Linked DNA regions of Coturnix japonica. The protein of the gene in region 4 purifies or fractionates together with the protein of the main gene of each other region. This does not show direct contact. Links are inferred from orthologs where the notes say so. Each region holds a gene or a part of one and is shown on either strand. Other genes may lie near its edges.

Region 1 (3,516 bases), on a different chromosome or scaffold from region 4:
AAGAAAACAGAGCTACATCATGAAAGAAAAGAAGTGCTATGTATGTCTTCCTATACATCATACTGGTAAGACTGATTCAGAAACCAGAATTCTTTGCACTCAATATTTGAAAGGAAAGTGCAAATTCAAAATCAGAACCTTGGCTTCAGGGCCTAAGAGAATTCTCATACTGACAGACCTGCCTGCTTGGCTAAATAAAAAGACCAATACACTAGTCAAATGACATAGTCTTTAAAGGCAACTAAAATGCTTCTAAATCCCAGTAAATACTACCAAAAGTATGTAGTATTATGTATGTAGTACAACTTGCATGCCTTCACCTTCCAACTAGAAACAAAGATGAGCTTGGAAAAAAATTTAAAAGAAAGGGTTATTGACTTTTTGATGCTATTTCCAAGCAACAAACACTTTCTAATCCTTGGTACCTTCAAAATTAATTTTTACAAGGGCACCAAAGAAATTAATTTAAGCTGAACGCAAGTCTAAAGCTCCCTATCACAAAAACAGAACACAAATCAAAATTCAAAAGCCAATTTAATTCAAATACAAAAACATTCAGAATCCTGGTCTTATTCAAGCAATATATTCCTTTAATTGGATTTTTCTGGAATCAAAAGCAAAACATTTGGAAGTATAATTATATTTCTGTCAACTAAAATAACATAAAATATGGAAGCTTCAACATTCAATACATTTATAGCTAATAACCAGCATCACAACCATCCGCACACCCATGCAACTTGTGAAGGTACTGTACTGTCATGAACAAGTATTACTTCATTTCTAAATTGTTTTGTTAGCATCTTACCCCACTCTGTTCCATCTCCAGAACTTCGGGCTTCTCCAGCTCCCTCACCATCTTCAGCTGTCACTAAAAAATCAAATTCTTTCAAGGCTTCTTCAGTATCGGGATCATCAGTAAGGTCAGCAGCTAAACCTTCATTACCAATCTGCAATCAAATGAAGAACATTTCTGCATTTTAACCACCAACCTTTATCTACTCAAATGTTTAATTATAAATGATAGCGATTATGCTCATTGAAGACTTTGCTTTATTTTCAACATGAAACACATTCAAATCCACACAGAACTAGAGTTGTTTACAACAACTACAGAAGAAAAGAGAGCAGCACAGTAAAGTAATCATTAGAAAAGAATACTGACATGAGGTTTAGCAACAACTTGTACTAGATGTACAAGTTATTAACTACAGGTACAGTGCAAAAACCTTCCTAACAAGTCAAACTGGGACATTCAAACTTACACTAAGCTGAGATAATGTTGAATGACAGCTGAGTTACTTATGAAAATTCAAGGCAGCCGTAGGCACTTCCACACTACAGAATACTACAGAAAATTGGCGGTATAACTGCCCTAAATCAACCTCCTTGTGTGAAAAAAAAAAAAATCACAGTGAAAGAATTTTCTAGCATGGAATAAGAGAAAGGACATAATTTTAACTATCTAGGGAAAAAAGGGAAAGATATTTCCCTTTTAAGATAAGAGTTTGTGCATGCAAAACAATATCTTAAAATTGTTTTTTTACTTTGTGTTTCTTATTTATCCGGTGCTTCTCTTTTCCTTCTGCAATATCTTCTATCATGTCACTCTCCTCTTCTTCATCACTATCATCCGCATTTTCTAAGAAGTTAAATGTTTCAAGAACATCACCAGAGTTCCTACAAAAACAAAAAAATTAACAAGGAGAGAGTTTTACTTGCTCATGAGATTTTTGGGAGATTCATTAACATTAACACAATGGCTGTCTGACTCAACAGCTCAACAATTTTAAAAACTAGCAAAAACCAAGAAATGACTGTATGAAGTTTCTACAGCAGTCTAATTCTTCAAGTTACATCACTCAGCTGTAACTTTCCTTAAAATGTTAATTCCAAAGCTGCACTGAATCTGAATACATGTCATACAACCCTATCTTTCCCATGCAAGGCATACAATCAGTTTCAATGAAGTTCATAATCATTTGTAGTTAGCTACGCTCACAGTTCAGAGAATTGAGAGTCTGAAGTTCTTCGCGAACTTTGGTACATTAAAATGACTACATAGACAAACTTAAACTACACGCATTTCTCACCTCCTCACTTACCTTTTGATTTCCTGTCCCTTTTGTTTTGATGAAGGAGATTCGCCCCCATTGAGGATCTGCTCTAAATTCTTTGTCTCTACTGAACCATTTGGTTCTGAATTGGAGAGCCCAAGCAAAGACCTTACCCGCTGGGAGCGTACATCCAATATCGTATCTGTATAACCTACTTCCTGAAGATACCTAATATATATTAAAAGGAGAAAGAAGAAAGCACAGTTGATGGAAAAAGGAAATAAATCTGAACTGACACTTAGAAATTAATACTACTATAATATATTTTACAAAAGATAAGCTTTATCTCTGTCCATCTCACACAAAAAAGCTCCACGTACACTGTTTAAAGATCAAAACTACAAACTCCTGCATCATGGTCCACCGTGCGACCACCTCAACTACTCCAAATCAAAAAGTATGCACATACACAGCTCCTGAGACCTCAGGAAAAAGCATGAATACACCAACATTCCAACAATGCTACTTACTGTCTTAGTAACTGCCTGCCTTGCTTCCAGGTGAGTTGGCTATTTTGAGGTACTGCAGGAACCTCCGTATCTTTGGTTTCTTCTGAAAGACAGCACCATTTGCAGTTACTGGTTTTCAGAAGGTTTTTTTTGTGGTTTTGTTTAATTTTTAAAATTGACTTTTCACAATGCAACAATGAAATGAAAAGCAATTATTTACAAAAAGCAATCTTTAAGTTACTTGCAGTCTTATGCAGTAGTTTCTTTTAATTAAAGAAGGTTGTTTTTTTTCTTGTGGTAGCACCAAACAACAGTAAATCTGATACATATTGTACACTTAAACTTCCCTTCTAGATGGATGTCAAACTGACACGAAATGCTAAATCTTTTATAACAGCAATTTAAAAAGCAGTAAGAGAAGCAGCAGCTTAATAAGGAATTGTGCAACTATTCCAAACTTTCACTGATACTCACAGTTGTTTCAGAAGAGAAAGGTCAATTCATTATGATTTCGAATCAAAAATATTTACCTAATATCAAACTTTTCCTGGATTTTTTTTCCTCTATAATGTAATTGAGGGGGGAAGGAGAAAGTTACACTAAATTGAGCAAATCTAGAACAGGACAAAGAAATTGTTCTAGAACAGGTACTATCATAGAAGTTACCTGATTCAAAAGTTGGCATTTTCAAGTCACCTTGGTTCAATTCTGTGCCATACTTCAATTTATGATATTTTGCCCTGGAAAAAAAATGTGCAAAGATTTAACAAAAGCATCCTGTACTAATTTATCAGCTCAAATATTTTCCTACTCCTGTTTAAAACAACCATGTTAACATAACACCCCTTATCCAAATAAAATTTACAGTAATTACAGTATCATGCAATTAGTTCTAGTTTGTCAAGAACACAAGTTTGAGAAAGACAATTATAATAATCAAATGACACAAA
Region 2 (3,516 bases), on a different chromosome or scaffold from region 4:
CATTATTGCTACAAGTTAGGTATTATAGATTATACAGATTGAAACATTATAGTCTGCCAGTGCATTCATTACTTAAGGAAAAAGAACAGTATTACAGTGACAAAATACTACAAGAAGCAAGGCAAATTGGAAGCATGTTGGAGGCTGCTCTCATGTAAGATAAAGGACAGAAGAATTAATAAGCTTAGTAAAACTACAGACTGTGAAAATGCACAGCAGTACATCACTGTATATTATACTGCTTTGTGTGTGGAATTTATAGTGGCAAGTGAATTTGTTAAAGGTATTTTCAGTCAGTGCAGATGGGTAAAGAGATTAAATTGTCTTATAAAGATGCAGATACTGGAGCTATACAGAAACTACTTCTGCTAATGATTATCATGTATGCCTAGAAATAATTGAGTGGAGGCAGCATAAAGGAGGAATTGTTTTGTTTATCACGCCATATTACACATCCGAGCTTTTGACCTTGATTGTTTCCTGTAATAAGCCTTGGCAAAGTGTTACGAAGAAACTCTGGAATAAAAGGCTGATGGACAGATAATCAGGTGTTTACACTACAGGGTGTTTACAAGGCCTTACTGTATAGCATTGTCAGTTGATTGAACCTTTTCAAATGGGTCATAGAAGAAGCAAAATACAGCATTAGTAAGGCACTTGCTGTCAGAAAGGATGAGTGTACAAGACAATTTAGAACTATAATTCTTAAATAAGAGGGAGAGACTTCTATGGTTTCAGTGGTTGTGAAAATCAAGATGACGTACATGTAGTGATGAACTATGCAACACCAACTGCTTGTTAAAGGTAAGAAAACAGTAGTAAAGTCTGTCTTCTTTGTAGTTTTAAAGTCACAGAAGTACTTTAAAGGGTTTTACTACAGTTCACACTGAATGTTGGTTTGTTTTTTTCCGCAACTTTATCTCTGATATAGAATTCATCTTCTGCATAAAAACATACCTCTTAGTAATTTTGGAATTGCTTTAATTTTACATTCATTACAATTTTATTTAGTGGTTACAGTTCTGTTTTTTTGAGTTCTTTCTGTTTAGCTGTTAATATGACAACTCTTAGTTCCTGTTCTGGAGACACTCACTGAGTTTGTGCCAGTGTTGTTGGTCATAATTTTACCCAGTTTTCATTCTCTCTGTTTATTTAGTGTTAACATCTAAGTAAGAGTCACTTAGTTGTCAAGGATGTTTTTTCATTATATTGTTTTATAATGGCCAACTTAGCATATTACAAAAGTTAATGGATGATAGATGTAGAGTTTTTTTTCCCACAAGATGGAGAATGTCGGTTAGCAGCAGCAAAGATTTCCTGTACCCTGGGGTACACAGGCCAGCTTAGTGTAGCTGCAACTTATACCCTGGTTCCTACAACTTACTGTGTTGATATATCAGTATTGATAAAACTTTGTGGTATGTAACAGCTGGAGAGTGCTTACAAATACTTCTAAAATTAAAAATGAAAACAGCAACAACAAAAAACTATAATGTGCCTGTCCTGGTAATTGCAGCTGGATAAAGAATAACAGTTGGTTGTCATAAGATGAATTTATGGATAACATTTAGATTTTTAACCAACAAACGTTTTTATCTGTAAATAGTCCATTTTTACCTGTAGGCTTATTTTAATTTCGTGTGTTGTTAGACGCCATAAAATAGAACAGACTGGTAAATGCAAAAGTGATGTTGTAATGGTTTCTTTTGACTCATAGTGGTTGTTGTTGTTGTTTAGGAAGCCAGAATTGACTGACTCTGCCTCTCTGCTAGAGACCTTCAAGTTCCTCGAAAATGCAGCTGCAGACTTTAGTGATGAAGAAGATGAGGAAGATATTGAAGGAAGAGAGAAAACAATCATTGATAGCGCAACAGTGAGTGGAAAAAATAATTGAAAAAGTTACGAAGAACAGAAAAAGTGAGATTAATGAGATGCCTATATGCAAAGTATATGACTGTGTATGTACACGTGCAAATCATTAATGCATCTTTATGATGGTCTGTCCAAGCATGTGTGCACAGGAGCAGTTCATGCATACAAGTTGAGCTTTGCTATCTGTCTTGCTGGAAGTTTGCAGTGACATACTTTGGACTTCTACTTTATACCAACTAGTAGTTTTGATATATGTTCAATGCAGTTTTTAAAGTACCAGATATCTTTATTATTATTTTCTAAATTTTTTCAGTGCGTTTTATATTTAAAGTGACTTGTAGAATTTTCTGCTTGTAGGGTTCAGGACTGAAATACCACCTTTGATTTAAGTGAGTTGTTGAAGAAAGAAAAAGTGTAACTGGAAATTTTTTAAAATGTGGTTTATAAACTTGTTTGTTTGTGTATTCAGTCAATGCCTGACTCCATTCCTCATGATGTGTACTTTGCAACGTGATTTGGTCAAATGATCATATTAAGTACATACATGCAAATTATACTCAATTTTATCCTTTTCTTTTTGGAATGAATACTTATTAATTGAACTGTGCTTCCAAAAAGTTGAAAAAGATATAACTTAACATGGATGCGATCATTTTTATGATCAACTGTAAGAATGAACTCTTAGAGTTGTAAAGGTTTTTTCAAAGAGGATCTTGTAGTTGGTGGGCTGTGAACTAATGTCTGAAACAGTGTTGAGGTTCCAAGTCAAAAATGCAGTTTAAACATGAAGTATTGTGTATAAATAACTAATGTCTGCGGACATGTTAAAATGAAATGATTTTTGCCAAACCTATGCAAATTAGTGCTTTCCTTAGGTATTTTTCTAGGCTAATCTTCTAGTTTTTTAGAGCGATTTCAGAGGTGAGCTGGGTTATTTTCAGGATAGAAGAACCAATTTGGCTTTGCTGAAGTTCTTCCTATGGCATTGTGTTGGGGTATTTTGTTCTTTGTGTATTTAGGTAGTTTTTCTTTTTCTTTTTCTTTTTTTTTTATCTCTATCAAAAGAAAGTTTGTACTTTTCTGGCATTTAAAAGACTGATAATCATATACATCATTGTAGATTCATTATCAAGTGATTGAATATTGATAGTTACAGGAAGTAATTATACAGGTGATTTTCATTTTTACTTTGAAATTTGAAGGAAACCTTTATGTTAATTTTAGGTTTATCAATTTCTTCCTGCTTCTTAAATTTCCTGTTAGAATTTTGTATAGAAGGCAGTACTGACAGATATAAACATCATGCCGTCTAATTCAGTTTTTTCTTTCCTTCCTCATATTTCAGATTGTAAGGAAAAGAGTGCTGTCTGACAGTAGTGAAGACAGAGATACAGAAGAAGCTCTGAAAGAATTTGACTTTTTGGTTACATCAGATGAAGGTGATGGGGAATCAAGAAGTTCAGGAGATGGAACAGACTGGGGTAAGGAAATGTAATGGAATGTATCAGGTGAAAGAAAATGCACTAAGAGTATGTGGTAATTTGTTGATTGTGGTCTCTGTCGTAATAGGAATGCCTTTTGAATGTTCATATAGTAAATTCCTTCATTGCCAGATTGAGATTCTTGTGACATGATTTTCTCATT
Region 3 (3,516 bases), on a different chromosome or scaffold from region 4:
AAGGTCATATTTGCTGACTGCCCCATTCAAACATAAAGGTTGAGCAGAGCTCAAACATCAAGTTAAGCAGCCCTAAGTACAAAACTCAAGAATCATATAAAACCCATGGGCAGCTGAACAATACATTATAAAAATAAGGAACAAAGCAGCTTAGCATTATGCGAGGTCCAAGAGGCTGAGCTCTGTATACTGTAGCTATTAAATACTCACTGAATTTTCTTCATCTTCTTGATCCAGTTCACGCTGCTGTGCCTCTTGGCGTTTCAGTTTTATATCCATCGCTTCGTTAATCAAATCGCGCAGGATTGATGCTCCTTTGGCACTCTTAACAAATGGATGCTGTGTGGTATGTTAAAGTTAGTAAGCACTGCACTTGAACTAACACAGAGCAGTAGAACATCATTACCATGGGGTTACTGGGGCTCATTCCCCACACACAAGCACTACTTATTCCTCACCAGCTCAATTGTCGACAACCAACTACAAATGCATGCACCATTCTGAGCAGTTACTTAGAATCACAGAATAGCTTGGGTTGGAGGGGACCTTAAAGTTCATCTAGTTCCTTTCTGGTGGGTTAAGAGCCAGTTACTTGGCATTGCTGGTGAGAATCTGAAGGTTAAAAAAAAACAACACCAACAAACAAAAGCATCCACAAAGACAGGATTCAGACTAGATCTTAAGGAAGAACTGAAAGGTTGAAGTTGGGTACAGGGTTTTTACATCAGCCAAATAGGCGCAGCACTGCCTACACTACAGCAAGCCTTCTCTAACATTCCCATTCTCCCAAGACAAGGCAGACCTGCAGGAGCTGTGTTGCAGTAGCACGCTGCTCGGGGCTCTTGACCAGACACTGCTTCACAAAGTCCGTGAAAGCATCTGACCAGAGCTCTGGTTTCCGAAACGTTGGGGGTGGGTTGGTAGGAATCATGAAGATTGCCTAAAAAGAGAAGAATATTCCAGGTTTCCAAACAGAGTTTAAAACCTCCTAACAAAAATGAATCAAAACATCCACAGGCACTAAAGAATGATACATGGTTCAAGTTTGCTGCTTCTGAAGAGTTTGTACCAATATTTTATACATTAAGCTGCTCAGAGGATGGAACAACAAATCAGGCTGTTCTCACTAGAAGCCTACACGTCTGTCTGAGCCATTATCTGCACCAAGAGGTGTGAATCTGCCATTTTAAAGTCATAAAAATATGTGGTTGCTTGCAAGATAAAGAATCATTTTGTATGATCCACAGCATAAAGTATCTGTATTCACACTCAACAGCAGAAGTTTCAGCTGTGCCTTGATAGATGAGGATCATGATTTTCCTCCTCCATCTTTCATTTAATCAACAGCACAACAAACTGACAGAAAGCAAATCATATCCTCTAAATTATAAACAAGATGGCATCTTGATGCATCACTCACCCAGCTGTAATAGCAAATCACTTTTGCATCGCAATGCATTTTAAAGTCACAGCCCTCACCCTCATAGGATGAATATCTGCATATGGTGGTTTGCCTTCAGCCATTTCTATTGCAGTGATTCCCAGCGACCAGATGTCTGCAACACAATTATATCCAATCTCTTGAATCACTTCTGGAGCCATCCAAAATGGAGTTCCTATAACTGTGTTCCTCTTTGCCATGGTATCCTGAAAAGAAGAGCAGGATAAAGATCCAGAGCACACATTTACAATCCTAATTATCTTCCACCTGCACACACATATATTACCAGATTAAGCAAGATAAAGATATGGAAAGCTGCAGAGAGAAACTGAAATATGCTCGCAGATGTCAGACATGAACTGAAGCAAACAGCATACATTATTACAAACCATTACTTAGGCCTAACAGCTCCCACAGAGGAAGCTTTGCTGCTGCTTTAGTGTCTCATTATGTTGATGTAAAGTGCTAAAAACACTTCTGAATGTCTCAAGGTCTCCACAAGCACATGATGCTTATGTGTACGTTAGAAAGAAGAACTGAAGTGCACATAATCATCTTGGTTTTACTTACTGTGAGTTGTCCTGCCACTCCAAAATCTGCAAGCTTAGCATGTCCCTCTGTATTTAGCAATATATTTCCAGCTTTGATATCTCTATGTATTTTCCTCATAAAATGCAAGTATTCCAGTCCTTTCAGTGTTGATTGTACTATCGTAGCAATTTCCTCCTCTGTAAGCTAAAAAGAAGTGTTACTCTCAACCTCTCGGTTTCCGAGATGGCACACAGTGGTGTCGCAGTTTATACCTCCCTGAGATATAGTTATTTAATTGCTTTCATTAAAGGTTGCCATACTAATAGGGAAGTACACATACTCCAAGGTAGCAGCCTTACATATGAGAATTAGCTTTCGATCAGCATCCTTACACATCCGCACCACAGCCTTTCACACCTACTAATTCTTACCCTGCAAAGCCAGAGCAAGGCAAAGCAGTCTGTCAATTCTGAATCCATCTGGGTTTTCAGGAAAGCCAACCAAACACCGTATCAAAACCATGCAAACTGATTGCATTAACCAAACAACCCAAACTTGATCAACATAACGAGCCTCCATATCTTCAGGGGAACAAAGGACCCACATTGCAGTGGTGGCCCATGATTGTTTTAGATGTTAAACACCTATGAGAATTATACCCAAAGCACTGCACATGCCACTTAGTTTCCTGAGCTACCACTCCTGCTCCCCATTCCCAGCATTCAGAGGAGACTACGTACAGTTTTATTTCGTAACCGAATAATATCAGACACGGATCCAGCGCCGCAGTATTCCATGACGATCCACAGGTCTGTGTTCTTAAAGTAGCTGCCGTAATATTTCACCACATGAGGGCTATGAAACGTGAAAAAAGAAGAACAAAGGGTCAAATACTGGAGAGCAGCACAACTGAATAAGCAAAGGCAAAGAATACTGCAGCCTCCCTAAGCAGGTTCTAAAAACTCAGGCATGGAAGTGCCACTGAAGCCCTGACCAAGTGTTTCACACCAGCCTGAGTCTACAGTGAGTGACCACAGCCCTCCAGGCCTGTCCTAGCAGTGGTGTCCTTGTGACCTGTCACAAAGGCAGCTCAGGGGGCTAAAACGTCTGAAAGTAAATCCTGCAGAAACGGAAAAGGAGCAATTAGCTTTCAGTCTGGTTTTGCTCCCTGAACTGTGGCAAACAAGTAGGGAGGGCATCAATGGAATGAGAAACAGACCATGGCAGATCCTGGTAAAGCTGCTGCAGTGTCTGAAACCAAAGAGAAAGATTAAATAAGGTCAAAAGCTGGAAAACTGCTACTGTGGTCATTATGAGGAACCTTCACCTTCTTACTCTATTAATCAGTTCAGAAATGCAACTTATGTTAAGTACAACCTACATCTTTCCCATATAGTCAACTAATGGGCTGCCCAAGGGGTGAACAACGAAGTATGGCACAGTCAGAATGACCACTTATCCTTTGGAAAAGGTAAAGCAAAAAAGCTAACAGAGAGAACTGTATGGTTTAGCAAGGACAATGCTAAAGAACAGAAGCACATTTA
Region 4 (4,309 bases):
CTACAAGGCAGCTTTTTGCACATATGGACTGCCCTTATACTAAGTTTCGAGGTTGTCTCTGCCTCAAAAAGTTTGTTTACTGACCAGCTGTCTTGCCCATACTTTACTAATGCTCCCTCTCCCCACTTTCCACCCTTCCCTACAGATTACGCTGATACAGTTATTTGCAGACTATGTAGCACACACAGGACCATTCACATGATTCACTACAACAAAACAAACACAACTCCAAACCCTCAAGGAAAAAAACCAGCAGCACAGCAGAAAGGCGGCTGGAGAGGCAGCAGAGAGCACAGGCTGGGAATGCAGGATCTGCCATTGCCATCGAAGCACACAGCTTAGCAGCGCCTGGCCCCAGATGATTCATGAACTATTTTTACATTTCTCAAGGATTTCTCTTTGTTATTAAGTTAACATTTCACGGTCTTATCTCTCAGAAAAGCAATATTGGTAAGAGTCTTATTGATAAGCTTCTAAGAAATGTTTACAACCGCTACGGCAAAAACAACTTGGGCAGACCTATATATACATCCCGGATAGGATAATGATACGTTCCTACATGAGATACACGTATGAGAAGATCTGTAAACAATGGCAATGAACATTCCCGCATGCAAATATTCCAGCATAATTTAGGTTTTTGTTTATTCATTTAACACACCACAGCGTTTTAAGCAGCTTTTGTGATTCCAGATTAAGATTGTATTTACCACCACCCACCTTTTCCCAGCAGCACTTCATATTCTCTCCTTCACTGCATTTCCCCCCCTCCTCCAACTCCGTCTTCCCTAAATGTACCACTGTTGTCATGAAGCAAACAGAATCCAAAGCTCTGTGTTCTGCTTTATCAATTCTTTCTGCCTTTTGCAATGCTCCAACATGTAAAACGTACAGTGATACATTCCTGTGCATCATCTGAAACCCCACTCTTTATTTAGTTATCACTATGGCTACTGATCCAGATTCTCATTTGCGCAATTTTCATCAAGATTCCCCCCATCAACTTCTCACATGATGGTATTTCAAGAGCTATCACATGTTACCATCTTATTTACTACTACCAAGTTGCTATTTTAGATCAGCTAAAGATAAAAGGAATAAGCGTATCATTTTTTGACACGTGTTAGAGGAGCTAATGCTAACTAAATATTTAAGAACAGTACTAAACAACAACTGGGTCCCTCTTCACCTCTTCTCTGAGTTAGCAGAGTTGCTCAACATTCAGTGTTTTCTCTAATTAAACCACCTGTAATACGCCTAGAGTATTTATAGCCATCACAGGGCACATAAGGGTCTTAAAATGCTTATTAAGAATGAAAATGTTGATTAAAAAAACCATATGTACAATACCTTTACAATTCAAATCAGTACAATAAAGTAAAACCTTTCCCTTTGTGTCAAAAAACAGTTAAAAACTGAGCTTAAACTAAAATTAGCCATATTTCATGCACTTAAGATCTTAAGAGTGTCCAAGAATGTATATCACAAACATTATAGATCCAAAACAGTATTTTTAATGAATCACAGATAGCAGTTCACACAATTACAAGTAACTTGAAAGCCATGCCATAACCCAGCCTCACGAAATTAAACGCTTGTCTTGTCCCATCATGCCCAGGTGTTGCATAACAGGGGATAGCTAACAATGGAAGGTTTAAGAACTTTGTTCTACTGCCCTTCATGCTGTGTCACACTAGTAAAAAACACAGCATTCATTACTGACTTTATTATTCCTGAAATCAAGAGCTACACTGACCGCATTTCTCAGAAGAGCGTGCAGGGAAGCTTAAAGAGAAAAAGAAAAAGGAGCTAATTTGTACCAGGTGGAGTTTCAGGGTGGAACATCAACACATGAGGAAGAAAATAACAGCACAGAGCAACTGAAATCTGCACTTCGTTCCCTTCTTGTTGAAATTTAAGTTCACAGCCATTGAGTGAAATGGCTTTACTTGTCCCAGTTCAAACCCTAGCGGACAAAACATGCACTACAGAACCTGTGTATTTCACATAACACCACAGCTACTGCCTTTCTGAGGGAAACAGCAGCAGGTTAATACATCTCCGGATGGATTTTAATACCATTTTCACTAGCAATGAGAAAATACCTTGTATGCCATCTGCTACACCCCCACTACCCACCGGGTCCAAACAAAACACGCTATATATGATTTCAAAAATGTAGGAAGAGCAGCACACAAACCCAGCACGCTTTTAAATCTGCTTTCTGCCAGCTGCTCAAAATGGGATTTATTTACACGCTCAGTTAATCAGTTCTTAGTATTTGGAAAAAAAAATAAACGTATTATTCACACAAGTCTGAGCCATATCTGTAATTATTACTCACCTCAAAATCACGCACTCCAGCACGCACATTTTTCAGCACTGTTAGCTTTAAGTACTTTTAAGAACTGACAAAGTTTCAGCTTGGTAAGAAATTATCAGTTTACCAGAGAATTAATCACTAACTATAACACAATCCTTCCACACACAGCCACGTTTATTACGGTGAAACAAAAGTGATCTGCAATATTTGGGGACTCGCTCAAATAAATAAGGTTTGCTATTTTTAAATCAAGCAAGCAAAACATCTTACCTTGCCTGTCTTGTGATCAAACCAGACAAGTGCGTGGTTCCTGGACAGCACCTTACAGTCAAAAGTCGCATTATTCTGAGCTGGCCTGCAGCGAGCCACTGAGCGGCCGATCTTGACGGGCTCATCCAGGTAGACATGACGCTCCTGAAACGGATGGGAGTTGGGGCGGCAGGTGAAGATGGCCAAGGCTGAAGGCATCGAGGACAGATTGGGGTTGCCACACCAACCAGAGACGAAGACAACCTCTTCTGATGCAGATGCAGACCGTCCTCCACGATTTTTATGCCAAACTTCCACAGCAAGTTTACATTAAAGCACGACAAACATTATCGCATACGAGAGGCCTAACAACTCATGGTTTCAGTGTGTAAACTAATTCTGGCAATAATCCAGTGAAAAAGCCCCATTATGTCTCTTAACAACATCAGCAGTGGCCCAGAAAATGTCTAAAACGTACCACTTTCAATCCATCCTCCTCTGGAAGAACAGGAACAAGCATCTGATTTCTTCAGAGAGAAGGAAAGGCTCCTTGAGAGAAGGAGAGAACGTCTTAAATCCAAGTGGATGAGTCATACAAATACTTTTGTTTGGGACCTCGACCGCCTCCTTTTTTTTCCCCCTTCCGTAAACAACACTGACCACCGCACCATGGAAGCAAAGAGAGGTTTAGGGAAGGGGGAAAAGGACCCGAGTCCTCCCTCAGAGCTCACGGAGCAGAAAGGCGGTCGCAGAGCCCGCACTCCGCAGCGGGGATCGGGTCGTGTCACAGGGCGGTCCGCATCTCCTCATCATCGTCCATTAAAGCAGACAGGCGCTCCTCGGGCCGGGCTACCAGAGCGACGCCGAACCCCAGATAAAGCCGAAGCGCTCTACAGCCCCGCGAAGCCGCTGGGCCGAGGAGCTCGGTGCGGCATGGAACGGGCTCGCGGCTCCGCTCTCAGTTCCAGGCCGGCGGGCAGCTCGCTGGGCCCCAGGCGCTCTGACAGCTCGCTGCGGCTCCGGGTCGCTGCCGGCGGGGGGCGGCTCCAGGAAGTCCCTCCGAAGCCCCCACACCGCTCCGGTAGAGGGGGCGGCCCACGGCTCCGCTCAGCCCCGCCGCAGGTGGCCGCTCATGGGGGGCCGCCCCGCGCCTTCTCCGCACGCCGAGCGCGTCTCCTTCGGGCCCGGCGCTGTGAGGGCCCGGCGCTGTGAGGGCCTGGCGGCGGGGCCCGCTCGGTAGCTCTGCCTCTCAGGCGGCCGCCGACCGCGAAAACTTTCCTCCGACCTGCGGAGCCGAAAACAAACCGGGTCAGATTCGTTCCCCGCCCGGCGCGGCCCCGCGCCTCCCCCCGGCCCAGCGGCGCCCGACCCCGAGGGAGCAGCGGGGGCGCGGCGGAGCCCCGCTCCCTCCCTTACCTTCAGCGCAGCCGCCGCCATAGTGACTGGAAACCTACCCGGTGTAACAGCCGCGGCGCTGCCGGGGAGGGGCGGGGGTCGGAGGGCGGAGCCGTGCTCGGCGGGGCCCCGACCATAGGGAACGAGCGGCGGCCGCCCCCGGCTGTGGAGCTGGAGACTGCGCAGGAGTGGATCGGCCTCCGGCTCATGCGCGGTGCTGCCCGTGAAGCTGCGGCACAGGAGGAGCAACGCCCTGAGCCGGGTGACGGGCTGAGGGAGCCGGCGGGAGCCTCAGAGCGGGACGGGAGGGAGGGAGAGGCGGCTGGGGCCGGCAGCAGGTGG
Region 5 (3,516 bases), on a different chromosome or scaffold from region 4:
TTCAACAGTAAATTCCCATTTGAGCTCCAAAGTTCAAGATACAAAGGTACCCCATGTCTTTGTGATTTGGGAATTTTGCACCTTTTTGTGTCACGATAATGGAAAATTAGCACCAGTCTTATCTCAGTGGTAAGGAAGATGACCCTAACTTATCTCAATAACGTTTTTAAAATATCTACTAACAGACAAATAACACTACATTGTTAAGTAAAAATGCTTAGGGGCTGTCTGTATTTCTTAAAATCACATTTACAAGTCAAAGATGCAAGCTGTAGCTAAAGAGCAGCTAGGCTGCAGAATATAAGAGTATCTCATATGGCATCAGTTGAGCTGACTAGGTTACAAATTAGTAAGTCAAGTAATTGAGATAAAGACACTCTTTCCTCCTCCTGTTCAGTTTCTGCTTAGCAGGAGGATCACTGGGAAGATCCTGAGTGCTGCTGGTAAGTCACAGGGCCACTGGGACTGGGCCGCTCCATTCCTGTTAGTAACAACACTGGCTCTGCATCCTGACATGCAAGAAACTAAGAACCATGTAAAGCTCCAGAATATTTAAAATAAATTGTATACAGAGGGAAAAACAACCTCATCTGAAAGGCTGAACAGTTACAGAATCCTTGCAGTTAACATACGTTGTTTAAAGTTTTCATCATAACATTCAATTATCAAATGTGTTTTCTTACAAAGGAGAAGAGCTGAAGCTGACTGGTACTTGATGGCAGTAACCATCTGCTTATTTGAAGTTCAATAAAGTTGGTTACTTCTTAAATACTGAAATACACTTATGCTCTTTTTGCCACTACCTTTGAAAAGTATTTCTAGGAGCTATTTTCAATAATCTTTATGTATAAAACCAACAAGCCTATTTGATCACTCCTGATGTAATCTTGGTGCCAGTCATATCCACTAAGAACTGCTATTGCACTCAGCAGCCTAAGACTCTGCTTTCTATGAAATAACAGACCTTAAGTTTCAGGATCTAGCCTCAACATTCTTTAACCTTTAATTATTAAGTCATTTTGTACAAAACTGTACATACTTCATTTCCAGAAGAAGTCTACAGAATATGCAGAACAAAATACTGAACAGCTTCATACTAAGGCTGACAGCCATCCTCAGAACTACAGCTAATAGAAAGTTAGAAGCTACAGCAACCTTAGTTTTTACTTTTAAGAATAGACAGATAGTACTCTCGAAATGCTTGTCAGTACCAAAATTAGAGTCAGCATAAAAGATTATTTGGACACTTCTACCAAAGCCAATACACTCTCCCACCTGAGAAATCTCAAGCTGAAAGAACCAGTACTAGCAAACAAGGATGAATCTAGTCTAAGGCAGGGAAGAGCAAGCAATAAAATTAACTGCCATGCTAGTATGGGATTAAAAACAATCCTGTGATTTATTTTTTTAAGGGAAGTTTCTTAAGGGAAAATAAACAAAATTTCACAAACAACTCTACAAACATCACCCAAAAATGTTTCCCCCAAAATAGTAGACAAGAAAAACCAGGGGACCAGCATTAATCTTTCAGAATGCATTAAAAAATGGAAAGAACCCAAACAAGGAAAGTAATGCAGAATTAACACACTCCTGCGCTTGCCAGGAATTTTTAAAGAGCAGAAAACCCAGACCAGGAGCTGGAAGTTACATCCAACTATTCTGTCAGTGCTATACATTCATATACTTCCAATTTTTATCTCTGTAGGGCTGAGCATTGTTGTGTGTGTTGATGTTTCCTTTTTTTAAAGCTTGTTTCTTAATTTAAGCCTTAGATAACACGAGAGTTACATAACCACTTTGTACTGTTGTCAGTTCTACTTTGTTTCAGGCCTACTATAACACACAACTACAAACATCTCCACACGGTGCAGCGTTTCCTTCCATATCAAAGGAGGGTTTCTCTTTTTTGTTAGTCTAGCTATGAAAACATATTTTTCCCCCTCCAAAAAGGCTCAAAATTTCACTGGAAGTTGTGAGGGAAGAAAGAAGAGAAAACCTCTTCCTCCATGTAATTTTATAAGCTCAATAGCAATAGGAATCTTCTGTCAACTCCGCTCCTTTTGTAGCCATTTTGTGAAGATCTGAGCTTTAAGGAACATGCAGCAAAAGATGCAGAACAAAGGCAACTCCATTCAAAGGGAAAAACAGAAAGTCAAGTTGATGTGATAACACTTTCTCAGTTATAGGAACTTCCCTGTGCATCATTCAAAATGGGCTGACACATTGCTAGTAAATGTTTGTGCAGTAAGATACATTACCTTTAAATATGATCCATAGTATTTCGTTACATAAGGACTATCACACTGACTTAAAACAGTTATCTCTTGCTGTATATCTTCTATTTCATCTTCTGCTTCCTCGAGGTCTATGATTTTTATAGCAACCACTTGCTGCGTCCGATTATCAATTCCTTTAAAGACTTCACCAAAGGAGCCTTTCCCAATGCGTTCCAGTTTTGTGAATAATTCTTCTGGGTCTGCTCTATGGTTCTAGAGAAAAAGTTAAAATAAATAAATAAATAAAAGATGAGCTATCTTCATTTACTTCCAAGTTATTAGCCCTCATTAATGCCCATGAAACACATCACCCAGATTTATCATTATTAGAGTGCTCGTATCAGATGAATTTATTTCCTATACACTCACTTCTAATTCAGCTATTAGTTACAAAATGTATATTATACAATTATGTCAAAGGTAAGTGAATTTCACCATCGAAAGCAACAGGTACAAATCTCATTTCCCACATAATGCTTTTAAAGGAAAGAATAGAGCTGTTCTTAATACTGATCCTGTCTGTGTGGTAATTCAGAAGTCTACAGAATGCAATTACTGGCACAGAAGTGCTAACATCATTCCCCATGTGAATAAGGCTGGGCTCACCTATGAGGTCAACAGCCTTGGGCAGACAAAGCTCCACTTCAAGTAATAAAACACAGAGGTAGCTGCAAGAGGACTACAGCACCCGGAGCCCATTAGCAGCATCCTCCACCCAAGCACACTGAGCTTTTGAGATCTGCTAAGATGTAAGGCAACAAAAGGCACTGAGAGACATTCAAAGGAGTACAGATGCAGAAATTAAACTTGAAGCACTGGTCAGAACGAGCTGATATCACCCAAACACGCCTTGGATGAGGAACACAGCACCAGACAGTACAGCACTCATGAGGACATCTGGTTTCCTTGGAAGGTTAACTGCTCTATGATCAGCACTGACATCATACAAAGGTCTTAACGCTTCCCAGCTCCATTCAAGGAATCAGAGGGAAGAGAGAAGAGGACCTCTAACACTTGCAGCAACTTTGCTGCTGCTAACTTGCCGCGAACAAGAAAACCCAAAGGCCCTCTGATTCTGATGTCTCTCCTGTATCCCTACACGTCATGCTTACCCAGCAGATCAAGTGAACTGCCCTGACAGAAGTGACAGCTTTGGCAAAGGCAGCCATTGTGCATCTGCTGCATGGATTACCCTGCACAACACACAACTCTAGTACCAACGGGAAACAAAACATCTTTA

Evidence for each region.
Region 1: the proteins of SLMAP (region 4) and STRN3 purify together in Homo sapiens (affinity purification with mass spectrometry; 5 studies listed by BioGRID and IntAct, with this or other methods). This does not show direct contact. The link is inferred for Coturnix japonica from reciprocal best matches to the Homo sapiens genes SLMAP and STRN3.
Region 2: the proteins of SLMAP (region 4) and STRN purify together in Homo sapiens (affinity purification with mass spectrometry; 5 studies listed by BioGRID and IntAct, with this or other methods). This does not show direct contact. The link is inferred for Coturnix japonica from reciprocal best matches to the Homo sapiens genes SLMAP and STRN.
Region 3: the proteins of SLMAP (region 4) and STK4 purify together in Homo sapiens (co-immunoprecipitation; 3 studies listed by BioGRID and IntAct, with this or other methods). This does not show direct contact. The link is inferred for Coturnix japonica from reciprocal best matches to the Homo sapiens genes SLMAP and STK4.
Region 5: the proteins of SLMAP (region 4) and STK26 purify together in Homo sapiens (affinity purification with mass spectrometry; 5 studies listed by BioGRID and IntAct, with this or other methods). This does not show direct contact. The link is inferred for Coturnix japonica from reciprocal best matches to the Homo sapiens genes SLMAP and STK26.

The regions. Positions count from the first base shown.
Region 1 is NC_029520.1:30,872,852-30,876,367, reverse strand, and holds part of STRN3 (striatin-3), read right to left. Parts: intron 3,307-3,516; coding exon 3,233-3,306; intron 2,670-3,232; coding exon 2,588-2,669; intron 2,286-2,587; coding exon 2,106-2,285; intron 1,681-2,105; coding exon 1,548-1,680; intron 951-1,547; coding exon 809-950; intron 1-808. UniProt on the Homo sapiens protein: Calmodulin-binding scaffolding protein which is the center of the striatin-interacting phosphatase and kinase (STRIPAK) complexes.
Region 2 is NC_029518.1:28,874,067-28,877,582, forward strand, and holds part of STRN (striatin), read left to right. Parts: intron 1-1,737; coding exon 1,738-1,873; intron 1,874-3,217; coding exon 3,218-3,353; intron 3,354-3,516. UniProt on the Homo sapiens protein: Calmodulin-binding scaffolding protein which is the center of the striatin-interacting phosphatase and kinase (STRIPAK) complexes.
Region 3 is NC_029535.1:4,579,254-4,582,769, forward strand, and holds part of STK4 (serine/threonine-protein kinase 4), read right to left. Parts: intron 2,828-3,516; coding exon 2,713-2,827; intron 2,177-2,712; coding exon 2,012-2,176; intron 1,648-2,011; coding exon 1,480-1,647; intron 941-1,479; coding exon 803-940; intron 340-802; coding exon 211-339; intron 1-210. UniProt on the Homo sapiens protein: Stress-activated, pro-apoptotic kinase which, following caspase-cleavage, enters the nucleus and induces chromatin condensation followed by internucleosomal DNA fragmentation.
Region 4 is NC_029527.1:6,442,474-6,446,782, reverse strand, and holds the start of SLMAP (sarcolemmal membrane-associated protein), read right to left. Parts: upstream 2,815-4,309; 5' UTR 2,792-2,814; coding exon 2,594-2,791; intron 1-2,593. UniProt on the Homo sapiens protein: Associates with the striatin-interacting phosphatase and kinase (STRIPAK) core complex, forming the extended (SIKE1:SLMAP)STRIPAK complex.
Region 5 is NC_029519.1:3,354,151-3,357,666, reverse strand, and holds part of STK26 (serine/threonine-protein kinase 26), read right to left. Parts: intron 2,490-3,516; coding exon 2,259-2,489; intron 1-2,258. UniProt on the Homo sapiens protein: Serine/threonine-protein kinase that acts as a mediator of cell growth. Modulates apoptosis. In association with STK24 negatively regulates Golgi reorientation in polarized cell migration upon RHO activation.